Linked DNA regions of Rattus norvegicus. Each later gene encodes a partner of the first gene's protein in a complex. Links are inferred from orthologs where the notes say so. Each region holds a gene or a part of one and is shown in the gene's direction. Other genes may lie near its edges. The genes, in order: Kras, Plaat3, Ralgdsl2, Sos1 and Mapkap1.

Region 1 (3,509 bases):
TACACATTTATGTATATATATCTTGTTTGTAAGATATTTTAAACATTTTGATTTGAAACTTTAGTATATTTCTTATTTTATATATGCATATGAACAAACAGATATGTAAGGTTTTTGTTTTAGAGGGAAAATAAGAGAAATGAGGACATTTTGGTAGGGTAGAAACTAGGATTCATATGAAGAAACGATTCAATACAGTTTTGTAAGATGAAGTTGAGGTCAAAGTTTGAAGTATTTTTGTGTTACTTATGCTTCTGCTTCCATTTGTTTCTTCCCCAGAGAACAAATTAAAAGAGTAAAGGACTCTGAAGATGTGCCTATGGTCCTAGTAGGGAATAAGTGTGACTTGCCTTCTAGAACAGTAGACACGAAACAGGCTCAGGAGTTAGCAAGGAGTTATGGGATTCCATTCATTGAGACCTCAGCGAAGACAAGACAGGTGAGTGCCACCGGAGAGATGTGCGTCTACTCTGCCGGGTGCTCCAAATGATGCTCACCACTGTTCTCCATTTCCAAATGGTGTCATTGGGGTCTACTTGCCACCATAACTATTGTTACATGTTCCTCATTTCATGTGATTCTCCAGTCTTTCTATTATTCTAACATAGAAAATAATGTTTATTTGGCAAATGTCTTCTCAAGTAGATAGTACTTCTTATCTAGGAACCACAATATTACTTTGGATCCCCCCACCCCCCATGTGTGCACAGGAGAGAGGGGGGTGTAGATAGATGGTAGGGGTTGCAATGGTCTCTGTACCCAGCCTGGGGTTGTACTCTCAGTCCCCTAAGTCTGTCTTGCAGGTGCTGGGATGACAGATGTCCTCCACTATGCCTGGTATTCCGTTTTCTTTTCATTTTGAAATTGTTTCTTCTGCCTAGAGTACATTTTACATTTAGGATTCAAGAAATGTGGAAATTTTTTCCCACTGAAATGATAAAGACAGAATGATGGAATAAAGTTTGACTTTCCTGTTTTAGAAGCAGTTTTTAGGATTTGTTGAGTTGTATTTGAAGAATTATTTTTTGGCGGAAAGTTTTTGAGGGTCTATTCTTCAGGGAGAAAGTTGTGATTAAAGTAAGGGAATATTTAGAAAGCAACTAGATATTCTTAAAAAGTGAGTTTCTGTAGTCTGACTGTCTGTGGGTATCTCCTGCGTGCCAGTTGGCTCACAGTTTACTTAGTTTCTAGAGACTTGGTGTGCATCACTCGGCTTCAGGGTAGGGAGCTATTTTATCCAAGTCCATCCCGCAGTCCAAAGGCACGAGAGGTTTGTTTCTATGTTCTATTTCCAAGTCTTCTTGATTTTATTTAGAAGCAGCCCAGAACATATAATTATAATATCTGTAACTTTTCCCTAAGTCCTCCTATGAAATAATTCAATGTAAGGAATTTTATTGAAAACATACTGTATAGATTTTACCATTAATACTTTACTCCTTCAATTGTTTAAACTTGCAAAGGCACCTTTCATACTAGTGAACATCAATCATAGTTGACATTTCATGGAGAAAAGGAAAAGCCCGAGACTGGGCTGGCTGTAAACACAGAAGAAAGGGCCTCTTGGACTAGAATATGCACACAAATCAGCTGACCTTATTAAAGTCAAAGTCCAGACATTGTGTTTGTGTTGAAGCCCATGTTGCGCATTCCTTTGCATTGTCGGGTGGTGCTGGTTGGAGAGTTGGGCCACAGTTTGAGTAGAAGCCATAGAGCACAGTGAAAGGAGTCTCTTGGCTTATCATCTCTGGGTTGCTCTCCACCTTTCATTTGGTAAGAGCCTTAAATAGCTCTTAAATAGCTTAAATTTAATTTATTATTTGTGTTTGACATTAATGCTTTGGTATACTGTAGTTCATTATTGATTTAGAACACTACCTCCTCTCCTTTTAAAATAGCTTTCTAGCTTTAACAGTGTTTTGTGGGGCTGGGGATTTAGCTCAGTGGTAGAGCGCTTACCTAGGAAGCGCAAGGCCCTGGGTTCGGTCCCCAGCTCCGAAAAAAAGAACCAAAAAAAAAACCAAAAAACCAAAAAAAACAGTGTTTTGTGACACACATACTACCAACACCTTTAAAAATTTAGAAATTTAAAAATTTGTTTTGCTTTGTTTATGTTTGGTTTTTGTGTTTTGACAGAGACAGCCCAGGCAAATCTCAGACTTACTATGTAGTAGAGGCTGGCCTTGAACTCTCGCCTCTACCTCCCATGTGTTGGGATTACAGGCATATGCCACCATGCCCAGTTCATTTTGTCAGGTTAAAGGCATACGGTATAGAAATAGATGAACTTAAATTTGGTTTTTAGATAGTGTAAGTTGTCTAACATGTATAGAGTTAAGATATACAGACACTTCTTAAGCCGTGCTTAGCCCTTCTTGTATTTATTCGTAATTTATGGATTTTTTTATACAATATATTGCCTAACTATAACTTGAATGCTCACTTTTCACTAGACTTGTTTTAGAAATTAATTTGCTTTGAAAAATCATTAATAGTTCTTAAAAATAATTTAATATTTTAAAGTTTTGGAAGATTTTAAAGAGCTACTCCAAATAATTTTGGTAATTTATAATATCCAAGGTACATTTTAATAAATTTTACCTTCAATTTTGGGGAAGATTTGGAGCTCCTTTTGGGGAGTATTTTGTTACTGTCTTTTATTTGCTTATTTGTGTGTGTGTGTGTGTGTGTGTGTGTGTGTGTGTGTGTGTGTGTGTGTATTTCATGTATGTGAGTACATTGTCGCTGTCTTCAGACACACCAGAAGAGGACATCAGATCCCAGATGGTTGTGAGCCACCATGTGGTTTCCGGGATTTGAACTCAGAACCTCTGCAAGAGCAGTCAGTGCTCTTAACCTCTGAGCCAACTCTCCAGCCCTGCTTATTTGTTATTTTAGCTACATATACCCGTCCTTAATGTATTTGTCTGCTTGAAATTTTGTTGTTTTTCCAGCCTAACAAAAGCACCACAGACTTGTATTTATGGTGGTAGGAACTGAACATTTCACTGAGAAGTTCTGTGATACAAGTCAGGGCATGGCAAGCATTTTCTACAGAGACCCAGAGAGCAAAGTGGTATCTTAAACATTATTTTCCCAAAAAAGCCTTGAAAATTAAAACTGCTTGTCAGCTAATACCAGAGCAGTTGACCCTGCCCGTATTTGGCCTTTAGGTTGTAGTGTGCTAGTCTCAACCTTTATAGAAGGCAACCGATGAGACTCCAGTAGATGCACAAGACCTTCGACCTACAACAGGCTGATTTTACCATTTTAAAGCTAAATTCATATATTTAATGAAAGAAGTTATATTCTATTTTTAAGATATAGGTTATAGAATACATATTTTTATCAGTACATTTTTGCTAATTTTAAATGCATATTACCTTGCCACTATATAATGATTAATAGAATGTGTGGGTGTGGGTGTGAGCATGTGTGTGTGAACACATGTGCACACCCACATGCTTTTTGCCCACTTTGAAACAGGGTCTTGCTGTGTTGCCCAGACT
Region 2 (3,989 bases), on another chromosome or scaffold:
AGGTATCAGATCCCCTGGAACTGAGTTACTCATGGTTGTGAGCCACCACGTGGATACTGGGAACCAACTGAGGTCCCTTGCAAGAGTAGCAAGTACTTTTTTTCCCCCTTGCGATCACATTGTCCTGTTTTTGGTTTTTTTTTTTTTGTTTTGTTTTGTTTTGTTTTGTTTTTATTATATATATTTCTTTACTTACATTTCAAATGTTATTCCCTTTCCTGGTTTCCTATCCATAAATCCTCACCTCCTTCCCCTCCCCCATACGGGTATTCCCCCCATCCATCCCCCTTACTGCACCCCCCATATTTCCCTGCACTGGGGGTCCAAACTTGGCAGGACCAAGGGCTTCCCCTCCCACTGGCGCCCCAACAAGGCTATTCCCTGCTACCTATGCAGTTGGAGCCCTGGGTCAGCCTTTCAGTAGTGGTTTAGTCCCTGGAAGCTCTGGTTGGTTGGCATTATTGTTCTTATGGGGTAGTAGCAAGTACTCTTAACCTCTGAGCCATCTCCTCATTTACCGTTGTTGTTCTTATTTTTATTTTTATTATTATATTCTGGATTTTTGAGGTAAGGTCTCTCTCTACATAGCTCTGGCACTCCTGGAACTCACTACATAGAGCTAGCCTCACAGAGATGAGCCTGCCTCTGTCTCCTGAGCGCAGGAAACAAAGGCATAAACAACTATACCTGGCTATTATTATTATTGTTGCTATTATTATTGTTGTTGTTATTGTTGTTGTTGTTACTACTACTATTATTATTTTGGAGACAAGATCTCCAACCGTAGCTCAGGCTAACTTTAAACTCATGGCAATCCTCCTGCTTCAGCTTCTCAAATGCTAGATTTCAAGCATGTGCCACTCTTGACAAATAGCCCTTTGCTGTCACTCATGAAAAAAGATTAAATGTAACTCCATGTGACATGTTCTTATATGTTACAAACTGACCGAGGGTTGTGTATGAGCTGTCAAGGGCCTGGGAATCTGGGGCAGAGGAGCAGAGAGGCCAGGAACGCAGCGGGAGGGAGGCATCTAAATGAGAACAGAGTAGCAGGCCCTTGGCGCTGCTCTCATTAGCCAGTTACGGGAGGAGGGGCGGGGTGACCTGGCGCGGCCTGGACTCTGGGGCCATTAAGCCGGCCCCCAATGCGCCGGCCTCCACTTGCCTACTTGGGGCGTGAGGAGGTTGGAGAGTTTTTTCTGGGACCTAAACAAAGGTGAGAAGCCCGGGTGCCTCTGCGGGTCCCCGAGGGCTGTCTGGGAGGTGGAGAGCGATTCGGCAGGCGTAAACAAGTCGGGCATAAACAAGTCAGGCGAGTAGCTGTCACCCGCCTGGCATCCGCCGTGCGCGGAAAAAAGGAGCCAGGGGCGCGCGAGTGCCTGGCCAGGGACCCTGCGGGAGCCCAGGGAGCCCAGGGATCTTGTGAGCCGCTTCTGCCCTACAGCGAGGGATTTGTCGATTCAAGGGCAAGCGCAGGGCAGAGCGGAGGAGAGCGAGAAAGTTTGGTGGGCGTTTCTGGAGAGCCCTGCTAAAAGCGTTTCAGCTCCTGGAGACTTGGGGACCCTGCTTCTTTAGTTAGAGACATAATGAGCTCTGATCCTCTGTTCCTTAGGCATCCACGGCGCTGCTAAGCTGAAGTTGAGCCTCACATATCCTGGAAAGGAAAATGCCCATAGTAAGTACAGGGTGAGAGGACAGGGAGAGGAGAGAGGGTGGGTTAGGGATGGAGGTAGTGTTTTAATGGTGACTCTTGTCTTCTCGGGGTCTGACTTGCTGTTTTGAAGAGAAGAGCTTTGTAATGAGGGAGCTATACTTTCAACCCTTCGGGGATCCTGTATGAGCTGCGGGGTCAGTTGCCACCTGTTGAGCGTCAGTGCTTGTTGAAGTGGGCAGGTTGGAAGCCACCCTTGTAACAGGCTCAATAGGAGACTGAAGAGGGAGGGAAGTTGGGGGTTGGTCTTCCTGTCAAACCAGGACCCTGGGCAGGTTCCTGGGTCGAATGTCTGAAGTTGAATCTGCTGGATTTTTGTCTTGTCAGCTGACTCACAGCCATCCCTGCTGCCAGCAAATACTCAGCTCTGGCCGTTCCTTCTTTCTTCCCTCCATCCCCCCTTCTCTTAACTTTCTGATTTTTGTTTTGCTTTTGCTTTTGTGGCCCAGGCTGGGCCTCAAACTTGCTATTTAGTGAGGACAGTTTTTTACTTCTGGTTTCCCGGCCTCCACCTCTTGAGTGCTAGAATTATAGATGTGAGGCACCATACCCAGTTTTGTGAAGCCCTTCTGCATGCTGGGCAAACACTCTACCGACCAAGCCACACCCCAGCCCAGGACTCTGTTTGTTAACCCTTGATGTCTTGAGATGTAACCAGGCAAATGTCTTCTTCACTTTAACAGGGCTCTGTTGACTTGGTTCAGGTTGTAGGTTTTTGCAGACTGGGGCTTGTGCTCCAGCTAAGTACCTGTTTAATCAAGTTCAAATTTATTCTGTTCCCACGTGAAAACACCACTTAGCAGTTCTCATAACAGCCCAAGGGTCTAGCTCTAGGCTGCACTTTCTGTTTCTGGTATTGTGAGGCCAGGCTGTTTTGTTTTCTGTTTGAACCCAGGAAAACCCAAGACCACAGAAGTTAGCACTGTAAACTGTGTCTAAAGCTTGAACTCTGCGGAGCCATGAGGAACTGACTCTTAGCAAAATACATGCGTGTCTCAGTTGTGTGTTTTGATTGTGCAACTGTGTGTTCTTTGATTTAACTTTCTTGTAGTAGACAGTTTAAAAAGCATATTTGTATATATGTATGTGTGTGTGACATTTGAGTGTGTGTGTGTGTGTGTGTGTGTGTGTGTGTGTGTGTGTTTTGGGGGGGGCATGCATATGCCATGGCAAGCATGTGGAGGTCAGAGAGCTATTTGCAGGTCTTCACTATTTGGGTCTTGGGATTTGAACTCAGGTCATCAGGCTTAGCAGCAATCTCCTTTACTTGATAAGCCATATCAATGCCCCACCTTTTTTTTTAAATTAAAAGAGTAAGAAAAAATATGCACTAATTGCAGGCTTATATAGAAGTTATTAGATCTCATTGATGGTTCCTCTCTTCTCGGGCTAAGATGGAGACTCACCATCCTTTCTCCTGCCCTAGCTCAGTACGTATTGTCATTTCATCTACAGGGGTGTGAAGGAAGGTGGGCATAGTGGCACATACCTGTAACCCTGCCACTCGGGATGCAGAGTTGGAGGCTATCCTGGCTATGTAGAGAGACCTTGTTTCAAACAAAATAAAACATGACTGCTAGGTAGTGGTGGTACATGCTTTTAATCCCAGCACTAGGGAGGCAGAGGCAAATGGATCTCTGAGTTTGAGACTAGCCTGAAACCAGAATGAGTTCCAGGACAACCAAGGCTTTGCTGAGACACTTTGTCTCACAAAACCCTAAACAAACAAACAAGCAAATAAATAATAAATGTGGGGGGGGGGAGAAAACAGAGCTGAAGAGATGGTTCAGTGGTTAAGAGCACTGGATGCTTTTCCAGAGGACTGGATTAAATTTCCAGCACTCATATGTTAGCCCAGCTAAGAATGGGCTGTAATTCCCATCCCAAGTGACCTGACACCCTTTCCTGACATCCAAGGGTGCTGTACACATGGGATCCACAGACCTATGCAGTCAAAACACCCATACGCATAAAGTAGAGGAGGAAAAAAGTTTAAAAAACAAAGCCCTAATCCAAACTAAAAATGCACAGCTGGTGGTGGGAGGCAAGAGTGGCCCGCTGGGCAGGGCTTTATGGGAGGAGGTGGCAGGAAAAGTTCAGCCTAGTTCTCTCCTTGCCCTCAACTTTCTAACTGGCGAGGAGGTTTGGATGAAAGTTCCTTTCATCTCCGCCCACAGTAATGAGTGTTTCCTGGAAATGAGAACTAAAACTGAAACCTGAATTCTGAAAGGCCAGCGTGCCAATGGTATCCAGTGGTGACCCAGTGGGCCACTTGGGC
Region 3 (4,303 bases), on another chromosome or scaffold:
AGCCCAACGAATTTTTTGTTATGTGGGCTACAGCTATTGGAATAGAACTAAAATTTTAAAATGTGGGGGAGAAAAAGCGAGGCTTAGTTAGTGGCACACTCATTTGACCCTGGCAAGGCACGTGGCAGAGGTACGTGGATTTCTGATTTCCATGCCAGCCTGGTCTACAATAAGGAGTTTCAGGTCAGTCAGGGTGTCGTAGCAGGGCTTTGTTGAGAGAACCAAATACAAGAACATATATTCACAGGTCAAGAAGAACCACTGGGGGTTGAGTGGTAGAGCGCTTGCTTAGCAAGCGCAAGGCCCTGGGTTCCGTCCTCACCTGGGGGGGGGGGGGGACGGGACACTACTGTATGCCCTAGAGAGGCGGTTCTTAGCCTGTAGGTCATGACCCCTTTAAGTCCATCGGGAATACCAGACATTTATTTACATTAGGATTCACAACAGTAGCAAAATCAGTTTCGAAGTAACAAAAGAATTTTACAACTAGAGGAACGGTGTTATAGGACTGTAACATTAGGAAGGTTGAGAACCACTGCCCAGGGAATTGACGATAGGGCCACATAGCATCTTAGCGTTCTAGGGACCTTTGGGACAACCCACAACAGTAGTCTAGAGACGAAGGGGTACATGTGTCGCCTATGGAGTACTAATGCCTACCTCTCCAGCCGTCCATTCGTACCACAGAGTTTCCTTTGCCTCGTCCTTTCACGAGCGTCCCCCGTGCAGTCCACCGGCTGTACTTAAAGGATGGCTGTCCACTCCTGTCTGCCGGGCCTCGTGAGCCAATAAAGTCTTTTAGAGTTTTCATGAGGGTCTCTCGTTCTCTGGTTTCCAAGCACAGCCAACATCTTGGTCCCCCTCCAGTCTTCCCACACGCGGGGCGATGACACAGCCATCTTAGGAACTGAGTGCGCTCTGGCGCACCGCGAGAGCCGGAGGCCGGGAGCGACGGACCAGAGTAAAACCGGAAGTGGCGCACTAGCCGACTTCCGTCCCCCTCCCCGCGCGAGTGGGCGGGCTTAAGGGCGGCTCAGAAAACTCGGCGCGGATTTGCTCCGCTGCACTCGTGCTGGCGCGGGTGGTGTCATTCTGGGGCCCCAGTAACGGGGTCGCGCCCTCACTAGGGCGCTTCCCTCGGGAGTTGCTGCACTCACTGCTCTCGTTAGAGAAAGTGATTTAAAATCCCGTACTTGCCCTCCCGTGGAGGCTTGAGACAGGACCCTGACCTCCCGCCTGCCTGTGCTGGGAGGCATGGGCTTCGGAATCCCCGAGTAGGGTAGTAGGGGACAGTGGAGTGGGGCACCTGGAGACTGCGTCCCAGCCCCTGGCATCCAGCACTCCCCTAGTCGGTAGCCCTGGCTCCTGTCCTCACTTCCTTCCCTTTTTGGCTCCTGCTGTCGGGCGGACGCGGGGAGGGGGGAAGCGGAAAGGGCGGGAGGGCCCGGGAGCCCGGCGGGGTGCAGGAGGGGGCATCGCGGAAAAGCCAGGGAGGGGACTCGGTAGAGGGCCAGAGACCGACAAGAACAGAGGCCCGGGACCCGCGCGCAGCCCCTCACCCTTCCCGAGCAGGTCAGAGCCGGAGCACCGGGTGACCCTGCCCATTCCGCAGTAGTTATGCCCCTAACCCCTAGCACGCCCCGAGGGCTCGGGTTTCCCTACTCCTGTATCTCCCCTCCCCCCCAGCCTTCCTGAGGGACTCCCACCCAGGTCCCTTCGTGCCCAAGTCCCCACGCCCGTCTGACTCCACCCCAATCCCACCCGTCTCTCCCCAGGCACCCCCAATGGCCCGACCCCGCTGATTCCTTCTCTCGGCCATGCTCCCGCGGCCCCTGCGGCTGCTTTTGGACACGAACCCCCCCGGGGGAGTCGTGTTGAGCAGCTTCCGGAGCCGGGACCCCGAAGAGGGTGGGGACCCAGGTGGCCGGGCCGTGGGCGGGGGGCAGGAGGAAGAGGAGGAGGAAGAAGAAGAGGTGAGACGCGGGTGGCGGGAGGAAAGGCATTAAGTATTTCTGAGACTCTTCTCTTGGTGTTTCTGGGTCCCTCGGTCTCTTCCTCCCTGCCTCCCTTTCACCCCGCCACGCTCTTTCTCTGGATATCTGTCCCCTGGCTGCGGGTCCTGGTGTCTCTGAAGTTCGCCCTGTCCGTCTGACTCGGAACCCGCCCGCAGGAACCTGCCGAGTTCCTGCCTGGAATGTCTGGCTGGCAGGCAGGATGGCTGTGCCTGCGGGGCTCAGGCCCCCTCTGCCCACACCTGCCTCTGACGGCTGCCACTGGGCAGTTAGTTGTGTCTTGGTCCCTGTCTCCCTCCTCGTTTTTGTTTGGCTGGGAGGGGTTTGTTTCCACAGTAACCGGCTCCTCAGACTCTAGGATTGGGGAGGGAAGCCTCTGGCTTCACCGCCTCTTCCCCCACCCCCTGGTGCTCAATAAAGGGCAGCGAGCCAAGAGGTTCTGGCACCTGGAGAGATGATCCCAGGATAGGTAGAGCGTGGTCATCTTCGTCCTTAGGGATTAGTAGTTGTGACTGTAGCTGCAGGATTTAGGGTTTCAGGAGGGTTCAGAAGTTAGAATCGGAGCCTGAGGACTCAGACTTCTGGGCCCCGACATTGGTAAAGTTAGGGTGACTGGCAAGGCTGGTTTTTCGGGATCGGTCGGGGGAGGGGCTAGGGCCACATGACTCTTAGTCTACCGCCCCCACCCCCCCATCATCCCTACTTCCCCTTCTTGTAACTGGGATTGGAGCCGCCACCTTCAGGGGGTCCCCAGTGCTGAGATTGAGTGGAAGCTGTATTGGGGATCCGGGGAAGGGAGTCTGCGGAATTTGGGCTCCTCTGGTTCAGTCAGGGAGGGCGGGTCTTGTGAAGTTTCAGCTTCAGGTCTCTCCGCCTTTGGCTTTGCGCTTCTTCGGGCGCTCTGCTTGTGACTTTGCACCCCGCTTTTCTGCTGTGTTGGGCTCAGCTGTGGGGGCAAGGGGATTTGGGGGCGACCAGAAGTGGGGTTCCTGCATTCAATTGAAACCCCGACTCCAACCTCTTCAACGGAGCTCTGAGGTGGCTAGTGGGGCTGTCTGAGCCCCAGGGTGGGGTAGACCTGGGGTCACCAGTACCCTCTACCCCTCGAACTCGCTGGTATTGTCCCCTGCCATCGCAGGTGAGGGGTGCAGAGGGAGGAGCAGGGCCTGGGGACGATGGCTGGGGACTGGAGGTGCTGTGGAACTCACTTCCTCTTCTTGCTCCTCCAGGCTTCTGTGTCAATCTGGGATGAGGAGGAGGATGGTGCGACCTTTACTGTCACAAGCCGCCAGTATAGGCCTCTTGATCCCTCGGTGAGATCATAAGCTTTGCGGTCCTGACATTCAGTTTTTAATTTGATTTTTTTTTTTTTTTTTTTGGCCAGAGCACTAGATTGGAGGTCTGGTAGCACTCTTGTGTGATTTAAGCCATGTCTGAACTCTGAACTGTGGAGAAAAAAAAAAAAAAAAAACTAGATCTGGACTATCCTAGATGATGTTTAGCAGTAAGATTGAGGAGACCATCAGTGAGACACCCTCCATGTTCTCCAGGCCCCCTTGCCTCCGCCTCGCTCCTCCCGAAGGCTCCGTGCTGGTACTCTGGAGGCCCTGGTCAGACACCTCTTGGATGCCAGGACATCAGGGGCTGACATGACGTTCACTCCAGCCTTGCTGGCCACCCACCGGGCCTTCACCTCCACTCCTGCCCTGTTTGGGCTTGTGGCTGACAGGTCAGGAGCCAAGGGTGAGGAGGCTCCTGGATTCCCTCTGAGTAACTCTCAGCACCCGGGTGGGGGCTGAAAAAGCTGCAAGGTAGACTCTCTCCTCCTTCCCAGGCTGGAAGCCCTCGAATCGCATCCTCCGGGCGAGCTAGAGAGGACCACAGGGTGAGTGGCCCTGTCTGAACCGCAGTCTGCTCAGAGGGAGCTGAGGCTGGACCTCTGACCCCTGGCTGGTTCCCCTTCTCTCAGGGTAGCCATCTCTGTACTTTCAACCTGGCTGGCCTCTCACCCTGAGGATTTTGGCTCTGAGGTCAAGGGTCAACTTGACCGGCTTGAGAGCTTCTTGCTTCGGACAGGGTATGCAGCACGGGAGGGTGTTGTGGGGGGCAGTGCTGACCTCATCCGAAACCTCCGGGCCCGGGTGGACCCCCGGGCCCCCGACCTTCCTAAGCCCCTGGCCCTTCCTGACGATTCCCCTGCTGACCCCACGGATGTCCTGGTGTTCCTCGCTGACCACTTGGCCGAACAGCTGACCCTGCTTGATGCGGTGAGACCTTGACCTTTGACCCCA
Region 4 (3,509 bases), on another chromosome or scaffold:
AGCGCAAGGCCCTGGGTTCGGTCCCCAGCTCCGAAAGAAAGAACCAAAAAAAAAAAAAAAAGAATCAAGTTTCAATCATTAGTCACCCTTAAAATTATATGTACTGATTTAAGAGTTCTCTACAACTAAAAATGGACATTAGCCTCACTTGTTTTAAATTTTACATGTATTTTTATTTTGCTTCTAGTTAGTTTTAGCTGTTGGCAAAACTAACTTTTTAAAATATTAACTTTAAAAAAATTATCATTAGCTTTTACCTTATAAAAGTGGATTTTCACTGATGTGTCTGTATCTGTAGTAATTTCTTACATTATTCTCTTGATTGTACTGATAAGTATAAATAAAAGTTTGGGAATTTGGATTTGATATAATATTTTTGTTATTTTTTTTTTTCTGTTTTCTGTTAGATTTGAAATTCCAGAGCCTGAGCCAACAGAAGCTGATCGCATAGCTATAGAGAATGGAGATCAGCCCCTGAGCGCAGAGCTGAAAAGGTTTAGAAAGGAGTATATCCAGCCTGTACAGCTGAGGTAAGACTGTACTGAAGACCGTCTACAGGCTCAAAGCTGGGCAGTGGTGGCCAATCCCAGCACTTGGGAGGCAGCGGCAGGCCAATCTCTGAGTTCCAGGACAGCCGGGGCTACACAAAGAAACCCTGTCTTGGGAAAAACAAAGCCCTGGGGGAAAAAAGTGGAAATGTTTGAAAACTGTTGCTAAGCAAAGGTGAAGGGGAGCAAACGGAGTGGGTTAAGTCTTATCCGAGTCCTTACAGCTTTAGGAGACCGCTCGCCAGTCTCAGCGGGTACATTTAATGTTTGATTCTGTGTTGCATCAATGCACAGGGTGTTAAACGTGTGTCGGCACTGGGTGGAGCACCATTTCTATGACTTTGAAAGAGATGTAGACCTTTTACAGAGAATGGAGGAATTTATTGGAACAGTAAGAGGTATGTTTTTCTTAAGTTCTTACTTTTATATGTGATAAAATTACCAATATGGTTACTGTCAATTGACGCCGTTATAGCTAATTTAAAAATGTTAAACATTCTTATCACATAGCATTTAGGCTGGGTGTGGTGGAGTATACCTTTAATCCCAGTACTCAGGAGGCAGATGGGGAGGATTTCTGTGAGTTTTAGGACAGCCAGGACTACAGTAGTGAGACCCTTTCTCAGAAAACAAAACAACAAAACCCAGCATTGGCAGCTGCTGACTCAGCATACTGTCATCTGTTACAGAACTGGTTCTGTTAGTCTCAGGCTAAGCTAGAACACTTAATTGAAACTTTGTTTACCCTGGGTACAGGCTGGAATTCTTTTACGACTGCAACACTTGTTGATAAAGGCGCATGGTTAGGTAAATAGAGCAAGTCAAGGAGATGATAGTATATCACACTGACAGATTGCTTTTTAACACCACTAATCAGAAATATAATTTTGACTCTTTAGATTCATTCAGTTTACTTATGAAAAAGCATGAGAAACTACAGTTGATTATCTTCAGAGTTTCCCTTACTTTAAAAATTCTGTGATTATATGACTCCCAAGTTTGCCTAGACAAATTTGGTTTTATATCCATTGTCCAGTCAACATGAAAATCAGAAAATACGGGTTGGGGATTTAGCTCAGTGGTAGAGCGCTCGCCTAGGAAGCGAAAGGCCCTGGGTTCGGTCCCCAGCTCCGGAAAAAAAAAAAAAAGAAATTGAAAAAAAAAATCAGAAAGTACAGGGTTACATAGATTATTTCCTGTAAGTACATAGGCACACAAAAATAGAAACATATGATGAATCAGTCCTCATAATTGGGTTATAAAGTACAGTATTAGTTAGATATGTGAATGTATGGAACTTATTCTTGTTAATCTTTCATTTTATATGGAATATGAATGTGAAACTAGTATTTTGAACTAAGATTCAAAATGTTGGAGGCAAAAAATCAAATTACTTTTAGAATGTGTCTAGGAAAGGTCTAGCTTGACCTCACACTATTCACAGTGATTACCTGTGTGGAAAGGATGAGGAGATTGGGGAGGGACTTACAGGATCTGCTTTGCTCATTTGAACTTTATAGTAATGATTTATTCCTGTATCACTTGTCTTACTTGAAACATTTTTAAAAACAAAGTGTTAAAGAGTATTTAAATGTTTGTTAAAATGTATTTCAGGTAAAGCAATGAAAAAATGGGTCGAATCCATCACTAAGATAATCCAAAGGAAAAAAATTGCAAGAGACAATGGCCCAGGTCATAATATTACATTTCAGAATTCACCTCCCACAGTTGAGTGGCACATAAGCAGACCTGGGCATATAGAGACTTTTGACTTGCTCACCCTACACCCAATAGAAATTGCTCGACAACTCACTTTACTTGAATCAGATCTATACCGGTATGTTATTCAACATTCAAGCTCAGAAGTTATCTGAGTTCATTGTAGAAGTGGAGTACATTTTGTCTTCTAGTGTTGTCATGAGATGCAGAGGGGGCGGTGTGTGTGTGCAGCATCAGGTGCTGCAGTCAGTCTGGTCCTTTGCCCCCTCAGGCATTACTGATCTGCTTACCTTTATGCTCTTTCAGTTACCCCTGCTTGGTAAGCTTGGTTCAAATCCTGGCAGCACCATTTGCTGGCTGCAGCTTGTACTAACTTGTGGGTCGTGAGGTTTCCAGTGTGTGTGTGATTATAGACCGAGCTCAAAGCAGCCACATAGAGACTAGTGCTCCACAGTGCAAACTAGAGCCACCAGTGAGCTACAGTTACGTCTCGGCCAGCCATGGCCCCTTATAGTTTAATATTATTCATTGATAAAACTATCCGAAAAACATGTTTCTGGTTTGAAATTTTATTTAGAACCTCAAAATTATTAATCACAAAATGAGAAAAAGAGCTAAATTTATAAATCCTTGCACCTACATTTATCATGGTTCCCAAATGATAATGTGAGAATTTTACAGTTCGTTCTCAGACACTTTTGCAGGGTGGGTTTTCTTTTCTACCCACTGTAAGAGCAAAAGCCAACCAAGACTGAATTAGTAATCGCTGTGCCTCGCTGGTTACTCACCGATGCCATTGAAGTGGCTGCCTTCCCGTCCTAACCTAGCAGATAACGTCTGGAAGAGCTAGGGAGGACGGTACGCGGAAGTGTGCGTTAGGCATAAGCACTGGGTGATGTGTGCAGCAGTGCGGCACTCAGGGTGCTGGGCACAGGGAGTAAGGGCCTAGCTGGGCTACATGGGAGACACTGCCTTTAAAGCAAACCAGCGAGGAATAATTGGATTGCAAGAGTGTCTGCCAAAATATTTCTAATCTGAAAACATAAAAAATTATAAATACTCCTTGTTTTCACCAACTTCCTATTGATAAAAGAGCAGCCCTTCTAGAAGTAGTTTAGTTTCTCTTATGTAGTAAACTGTATACTTCAGGAGAAATGTGATGTGCCATTTTATGTTGATGATTTTAGAGCTGTGCAGCCATCAGAATTAGTTGGAAGTGTGTGGACAAAAGAAGATAAAGAA
Region 5 (4,215 bases), on another chromosome or scaffold:
CTGCTTCCTTTCTGGAATGTTGACTGGCTTCGTCTGTGTGCTTCTTGTACAGGTAACCAGAGGTAGTGAGATTTCATGAATGCAGGGAGCTTGTCATGTCCAGAAGGTACTGTTCCCAATGTCATTGATGGTCCTTTCAGTGAAGGTGTGATGTGTCCTGCTGCTGGGTATTTGATCACACTGTAAACCCCAAGACTGTGTTAAGTTACAAAAAAAAAAAAAAAAAAAAAAAAAAAAAAAAAAAAAACAAGCAAAACAAGCAAACAAACCTGTTTTTAGTTGTGGTGTGGCTTAGTCCTTAATTCACACCTTTAATCCCTCCGACTGAAATACAGACGAGCCCGAAATACAAACCTTTAATCTCAAACAACGAAGGTAAAGTTAGTTGGTGAAAGGAAGCAGCCATGTTTGAAAGTGATGTCTAATTGAATGTCAGGCAAAGTGACGAATCAGAAAAAAGATTTGACAGGATAGGACATGCCCAACTCTCAAGAGGAGGTAAAGAGGCAGTTTTACTGAGAAAGTTTTATAGAGACAGGTGAAGACAGAATGAGTCAGAGAACAAGGAGGAGCCAGGAGATCAGTACAGATTGCTTAAATTAATACCACGCCTACCAGAGCAGTTCAGTCGGAAGCTAAGAGAAGCCAGATTGAATCAGTCAGCTTGGAGAGTAGTCTGAGCCAGAATAGCCATCCAACGATCAGAAAGAACTAGAAAGCAGGAGTGCATTCAGCAGGAAGTCTCGGAGGCTGAAAACGTTCTAGGCCTAGATTAGATTAAACAGAGGCTATAAGCTTCCAGGACTAGGCCTAGATTAGCTGACTTGAGTTAGTAAGCCTCCCAGACAACAAATACAACAGGAGAATAAAAGTTATGTACAATGTCCCACTGTGGCTGAGCACTCCACAGACACTTCATCTCTGCACTTTGGCCAGTTATTAGTTTCTGTATTAACCATTGCTGCAGTAAAAACAAACAAACAAACAAACAAACAAACACTTCTCTGATTAGGTCTGAGAGCTTCGCTAATCTGGGATTTTAGATAGTAGTTTAAAAAGCGTTTGGTATGTCCATGTAGCAAATAATAGTTGCGGTGAACTCTTCTTTCTGATATGGCAGTAAAGCTGAAGACGTTTCCCTATAAAAGTAAGCAGAAAATGCTTACAGCGATCCTTAACACTTGACAGTAAACAGAAGTCAGTTAACCTGCTCCAGAAACGGCTATGGGCAGTACGCATGCGCAAGACACCCCCAGACCCCGCCCCTCGTCCCGCCCCCGGGAGGCCAGGGCTTCTCGTTCCTGGCTCTGGGGCTTGCGCACTGCGTCCCCAGCCAAAGGCGTCTTGCCGATCAGGGACTTCCGGTACGCCGGGTACGGTTCCGGGTCGTGGCGCTGCTCTGGGTAACAGGGTTGCTGTTGCCGGCCGGCAGCTGCGGGGAGCGGCGGGGTCATGAGGGCGAGCCCGGGGCGCCAGGGCCGAGCCGGCCGGTAGGATTGCGGGTCCCCGAGGACTTCGTGGGCGCAGGGTTCGGTGTAGGGGCCGGGAGGCGTAGGGGAGTCAGGACCTCCCTCAGGGACGTGTCCTGGGCGAGGCGGCCTGTAGTGCTGGAAGCAGCTTCAGGTAAAGGTTGCCCCAGCCGTCGCCCCCTCGCCCGCGGAACCCTCCGACCCCTCAGCACCCCGCTGTCCTCGCTGTCCAGCGGCGCCCGTTGGGGCCGTGCTCGGTGGCCTGGGAGCATCCGTTTCCTGGCAGCCTGACAGCTGGGTGTGTGACTTAGGTGAGGAGAGACTTTGGACCTGGTGGTGTGGGGGCGGGGGTGGGGGCGTCCTTGACTCTGGCTGTTTCAGGACCCCGAACTCTGCAAGGTCCGGTGCCCACGCTCTATCCTGTGAAAACAACTTTTCAAAGCATTGCCTGGGCAGTCCTGAAACAGTCCCACAGATTGTTTACTTACCTAGAGTGCTGCTGGGAACTTGGATTCCGTTTTTCTGTTTATGGGACTGACAAGGAATGGTTTACCTGTGTGTGTGTGTGGAGGGGGTAGTTTAAAGAAGTGTATAACTCAAGCCAGAAACTATAAGATGAACCAGGGACCTGAAAATTTGTTACAGCCTCCTTTGAATGACCGCAATATTTGAAACTGGCACTGTCCTCAACTCCGTGCAAAACACCATGTTTGTTACAAACCCCAAAATGGCCAAGTTCAGAACCTTCCCAGGTATAAACAGTCATGTGGGCAGACACATCAGTTTAAGAGGTCGGCATTCACATAGCCAACAAAAAAGGATGGGTCTCTGTTTTGAGCAACCCCCAGAGCCGAAATAAAGTGCGTTCGCTATTCCTAGGTTTAGGAGCCACACACGCTGTAGTCAAAAATTCTTTCTCAGTGATAATTGCACCCATCTTTTTCAGTCACACCCCCTCAAGCTTACTGGACTTTGGGGAGCTGTGTACTCATATATGCCTTTAGCTAAATGCACTGCCTCTGTGACCTTGTGGCTCTTGGCAGCTTTTTACAGTTAACCTTTTAAAAGCTCCACTGTGCTCTTAACCACTGAGCCAACATCCTTTGGATGTTTCATTTAGTAGGCATTCATTGTGCATGGGTATAGGTCAGGTACTGTATGGCAGTTTCATAAGTGAGACCCAGTCTTAATGTGAGCGGTTACTCCAGTCTACAGAGACACGGTGTGAAAGTTTTTCTGTCATACAGAAGTAGTATGTCATGTCAGGTTTTTGAGAGATGACACTCAGTGAAGGGAACGAGCATAACGTGAGGTAAATGAGTTTCAGTTTTTCCTCACTTAATCATTTTAATTCAGGCTGACTGACAGGAAGACACAGGATAGTTGCACAGCTGGTATGAGACGGAGCCGCCTTCTTACCAGGACACACCATGCAAGTACATATTGAAGCAGCTGAGTAGGAGGGAGAATAACACGTTGAAGTGGAGAGTGCAGACAGTCCTCTAAAGGTAGACAAGGCCTGTCGTAGCTGCTTGGTAGGCTGAGGCAGCAGAGTACTTGCACAGATTGCATGAGCCAGCCTGGGCATGGTGAATGGCTCAGTGGTTAAGAGCATGGGCTGCTCTTCCAGAGATCAGAGGTCCTGAGTTCAGTTCCTTGCACCCGCATGGCAGCTCACAGCCATCTGTAACTCCACTTCCAGGGGATCTGATGCCATGTTTTGGCCTCTGTGGATGCTAGGCAAACAGGTGGTGTTTATACACACAAAAGACCCATATACATAAAGTAAAAAAATGCTGCATCTTTTTTTTCCCATATGGAGAAGTTTAATGAGAGAAGAAGAGTAGGAGAGGGAAGAAGTAAAGGCAGACCATGAGCTCGTGGGGGGGGGGGGGGAGGGATAAAGGGGAAGAGGGCAAGAGAGCAGAGAAGAAAGAGCAAAGAGCAAAATGCTACATCCTAAAAAGGGGGGAAAAGCATATTGTCTTTCATAGCATGGAGATAATAGGTGGGTACATGAGTGGAGGATAGATAGGCATGGTCTCTGGCTTTGTGTTTTGTGTGGCATGCTCTCCTCACTAGATATGTGACCTTTGCTAACTCAAGCCAGCGTTTTATTCTTCTTGGGAATGGAGTACTATGGATATTTAGTAAGCTGATCTGAATTAAGAACCAGGGCTCACCCCATCCTCCCAACCCTCCAGTGTGTCTGAGGCTAGCCTGGTCTACAAAGTGAGTTCCAGGACAGTCAGAGCTACACAGAGAAACCCTGTCTCAAAGAAGAAAGAAAGAAAAGGAAAGAAGGAAGGAAGAAAGTAAGAGGTAGAGCCTGAGTCTGTGGCTTGGGCTTTCTGTGAAGCATTATAGATTGGGATTTCAAGTTAGTGACACTCATCTAGTAAAGTCTAAAAGTACTCCAAAACTTAGAAAAAAAAATCCAAAATCTGAGAACATTTCTGACGCCAAGCATTTTGAATAAGGAATTCTCAACTGGCAATTGTAGGTCTGCCTAATATTAGTTGTAAGGCCTCTGGGATATAGTCTTAGAGGGTGAGTCGGTTTCTAGTCCGAGTAAAGCAAGCCATTGCACATGTGTTTAAACTGTTAGAGACTTATTGGAAGTCAGTGTCCCATGAAGTCTTACTGAAAGCAAATTACAAAAGCTTCAGTCCCATCACCAGGATATTGCCATTCTTGCTTTTAGCAGGCATTTGAGATGTAAACCAGAGAACTCAAAGCCAGGTGA

What was found.
Region 2: the proteins of Kras (region 1) and Plaat3 are in contact, whole or in part, in a crystal structure (PDB 7C41), measured with the Homo sapiens proteins. The link is inferred for Rattus norvegicus from reciprocal best matches to the Homo sapiens genes KRAS and PLAAT3. Residues at the interface, in NP_001356715.1 of Homo sapiens: Ala11, Gly13, Lys16, Ser17, Tyr32, Asp33, Pro34, Thr35, Ile36, Thr58, Ala59, Gly60, Gln61, Asn85, Asn86, Lys88, Asp92, Tyr96, Lys117; in NP_001121675.1 of Homo sapiens: Leu65, Tyr66, Asp67, Val68, Ala69, Gly70, Ser71, Asp72, Lys73, Tyr74.
Region 3: the proteins of Kras (region 1) and Ralgdsl2 are in contact, whole or in part, in a crystal structure (PDB 8B69), measured with the Homo sapiens proteins. The link is inferred for Rattus norvegicus from reciprocal best matches to the Homo sapiens genes KRAS and RGL2. Residues at the interface, in NP_001356715.1 of Homo sapiens: Ile24, Gln25, His27, Val29, Glu31, Asp33, Pro34, Thr35, Ile36, Glu37, Asp38, Ser39, Tyr40, Arg41, Lys42, Tyr64; in NP_004752.1 of Homo sapiens: Ile651, Arg653, Glu660, Asp661, Gly662, Ser663, Val664, Tyr665, Lys666, Ser667, Ile668, Leu669, Lys685, Lys686, Asn688, Arg689.
Region 4: the proteins of Kras (region 1) and Sos1 are in contact, whole or in part, in a crystal structure (PDB 8BE4), measured with the Homo sapiens proteins. The link is inferred for Rattus norvegicus from reciprocal best matches to the Homo sapiens genes KRAS and SOS1. Residues at the interface, in NP_001356715.1 of Homo sapiens: Ser17, Ala18, Ile21, Gln25, Asp30, Glu31, Tyr32, Pro34, Thr35, Glu37, Tyr40, Asp54, Ile55, Leu56, Asp57, Thr58, Ala59, Gly60, Gln61, Glu63, Tyr64, Ser65, Ala66, Met67, Arg68, Asp69, Gln70, Tyr71, Arg73, His95; in NP_005624.2 of Homo sapiens: Lys602, Trp809, Thr810, Lys814, Leu822, Met824, Ile825, Arg826, Thr828, Thr829, Thr832, Leu833, Leu872, Val875, Ser876, Asn879, Ser880, Ser881, Pro882, Tyr884, Ser908, Asp910, His911, Tyr912, Lys913, Phe929, Phe930, Gly931, Ile932, Leu934.
Region 5: the proteins of Kras (region 1) and Mapkap1 are in contact, whole or in part, in a crystal structure (PDB 7LC1), measured with the Homo sapiens proteins. The link is inferred for Rattus norvegicus from reciprocal best matches to the Homo sapiens genes KRAS and MAPKAP1. Residues at the interface, in NP_001356715.1 of Homo sapiens: Ile21, His27, Val29, Glu31, Asp33, Pro34, Ile36, Glu37, Asp38, Ser39, Tyr40, Arg41, Leu56, Glu62, Glu63, Tyr64, Ser65, Ala66, Met67, Asp69, Gln70; in NP_001006618.1 of Homo sapiens: Phe280, His287, Gly288, Phe289, Ser290, Leu291, Ile292, Gln293, Lys307, Lys310, Arg311, Arg312, Lys313, Gly314, Ser315, Phe363, Glu365, Ile369, Val374, Met377, Leu378, Ser380, His381, Tyr484, Glu487, Ser488.

Annotation. Positions count from the first base shown.
Region 1 is NC_086022.1:179,929,163-179,932,671, reverse strand, and holds part of Kras (GTPase KRas), read left to right. Parts: exon of another isoform or gene 1-279; coding exon 280-439; exon of another isoform or gene 440-3,509. UniProt on the Homo sapiens protein: Ras proteins bind GDP/GTP and possess intrinsic GTPase activity. Plays an important role in the regulation of cell proliferation.
Region 2 is NC_086019.1:214,210,690-214,214,678, forward strand, and holds the start of Plaat3 (phospholipase A and acyltransferase 3), read left to right. Parts: upstream 1-1,189; 5' UTR 1,190-1,216; exon of another isoform or gene 1,217-1,312; intron 1,313-1,612; 5' UTR 1,613-1,666; coding exon 1,667-1,675; intron 1,676-3,989. UniProt on the Homo sapiens protein: Exhibits both phospholipase A1/2 and acyltransferase activities. Shows phospholipase A1 (PLA1) and A2 (PLA2) activity, catalyzing the calcium-independent release of fatty acids from the sn-1 or sn-2 position of glycerophospholipids.
Region 3 is NC_086038.1:4,955,328-4,959,630, reverse strand, and holds the start of Ralgdsl2 (ral guanine nucleotide dissociation stimulator-like 2), read left to right. Parts: upstream 1-1,495; 5' UTR 1,496-1,572; intron 1,573-1,775; 5' UTR 1,776-1,817; coding exon 1,818-1,973; intron 1,974-3,016; exon of another isoform or gene 3,017-3,150; intron 3,151-3,241; coding exon 3,242-3,325; intron 3,326-3,562; coding exon 3,563-3,741; intron 3,742-3,846; coding exon 3,847-3,897; intron 3,898-3,981; coding exon 3,982-4,279; intron 4,280-4,303. UniProt on the Homo sapiens protein: Probable guanine nucleotide exchange factor. Putative effector of Ras and/or Rap. Associates with the GTP-bound form of Rap 1A and H-Ras in vitro.
Region 4 is NC_086024.1:20,338,115-20,341,623, forward strand, and holds part of Sos1 (son of sevenless homolog 1), read left to right. Parts: intron 1-407; coding exon 408-530; intron 531-842; coding exon 843-946; intron 947-2,162; coding exon 2,163-2,385; intron 2,386-3,454; coding exon 3,455-3,509.
Region 5 is NC_086021.1:38,112,011-38,116,225, forward strand, and holds the start of Mapkap1 (target of rapamycin complex 2 subunit MAPKAP1), read left to right. Parts: upstream 1-1,407; 5' UTR 1,408-1,780; intron 1,781-4,215. UniProt on the Homo sapiens protein: Component of the mechanistic target of rapamycin complex 2 (mTORC2), which transduces signals from growth factors to pathways involved in proliferation, cytoskeletal organization, lipogenesis and anabolic output.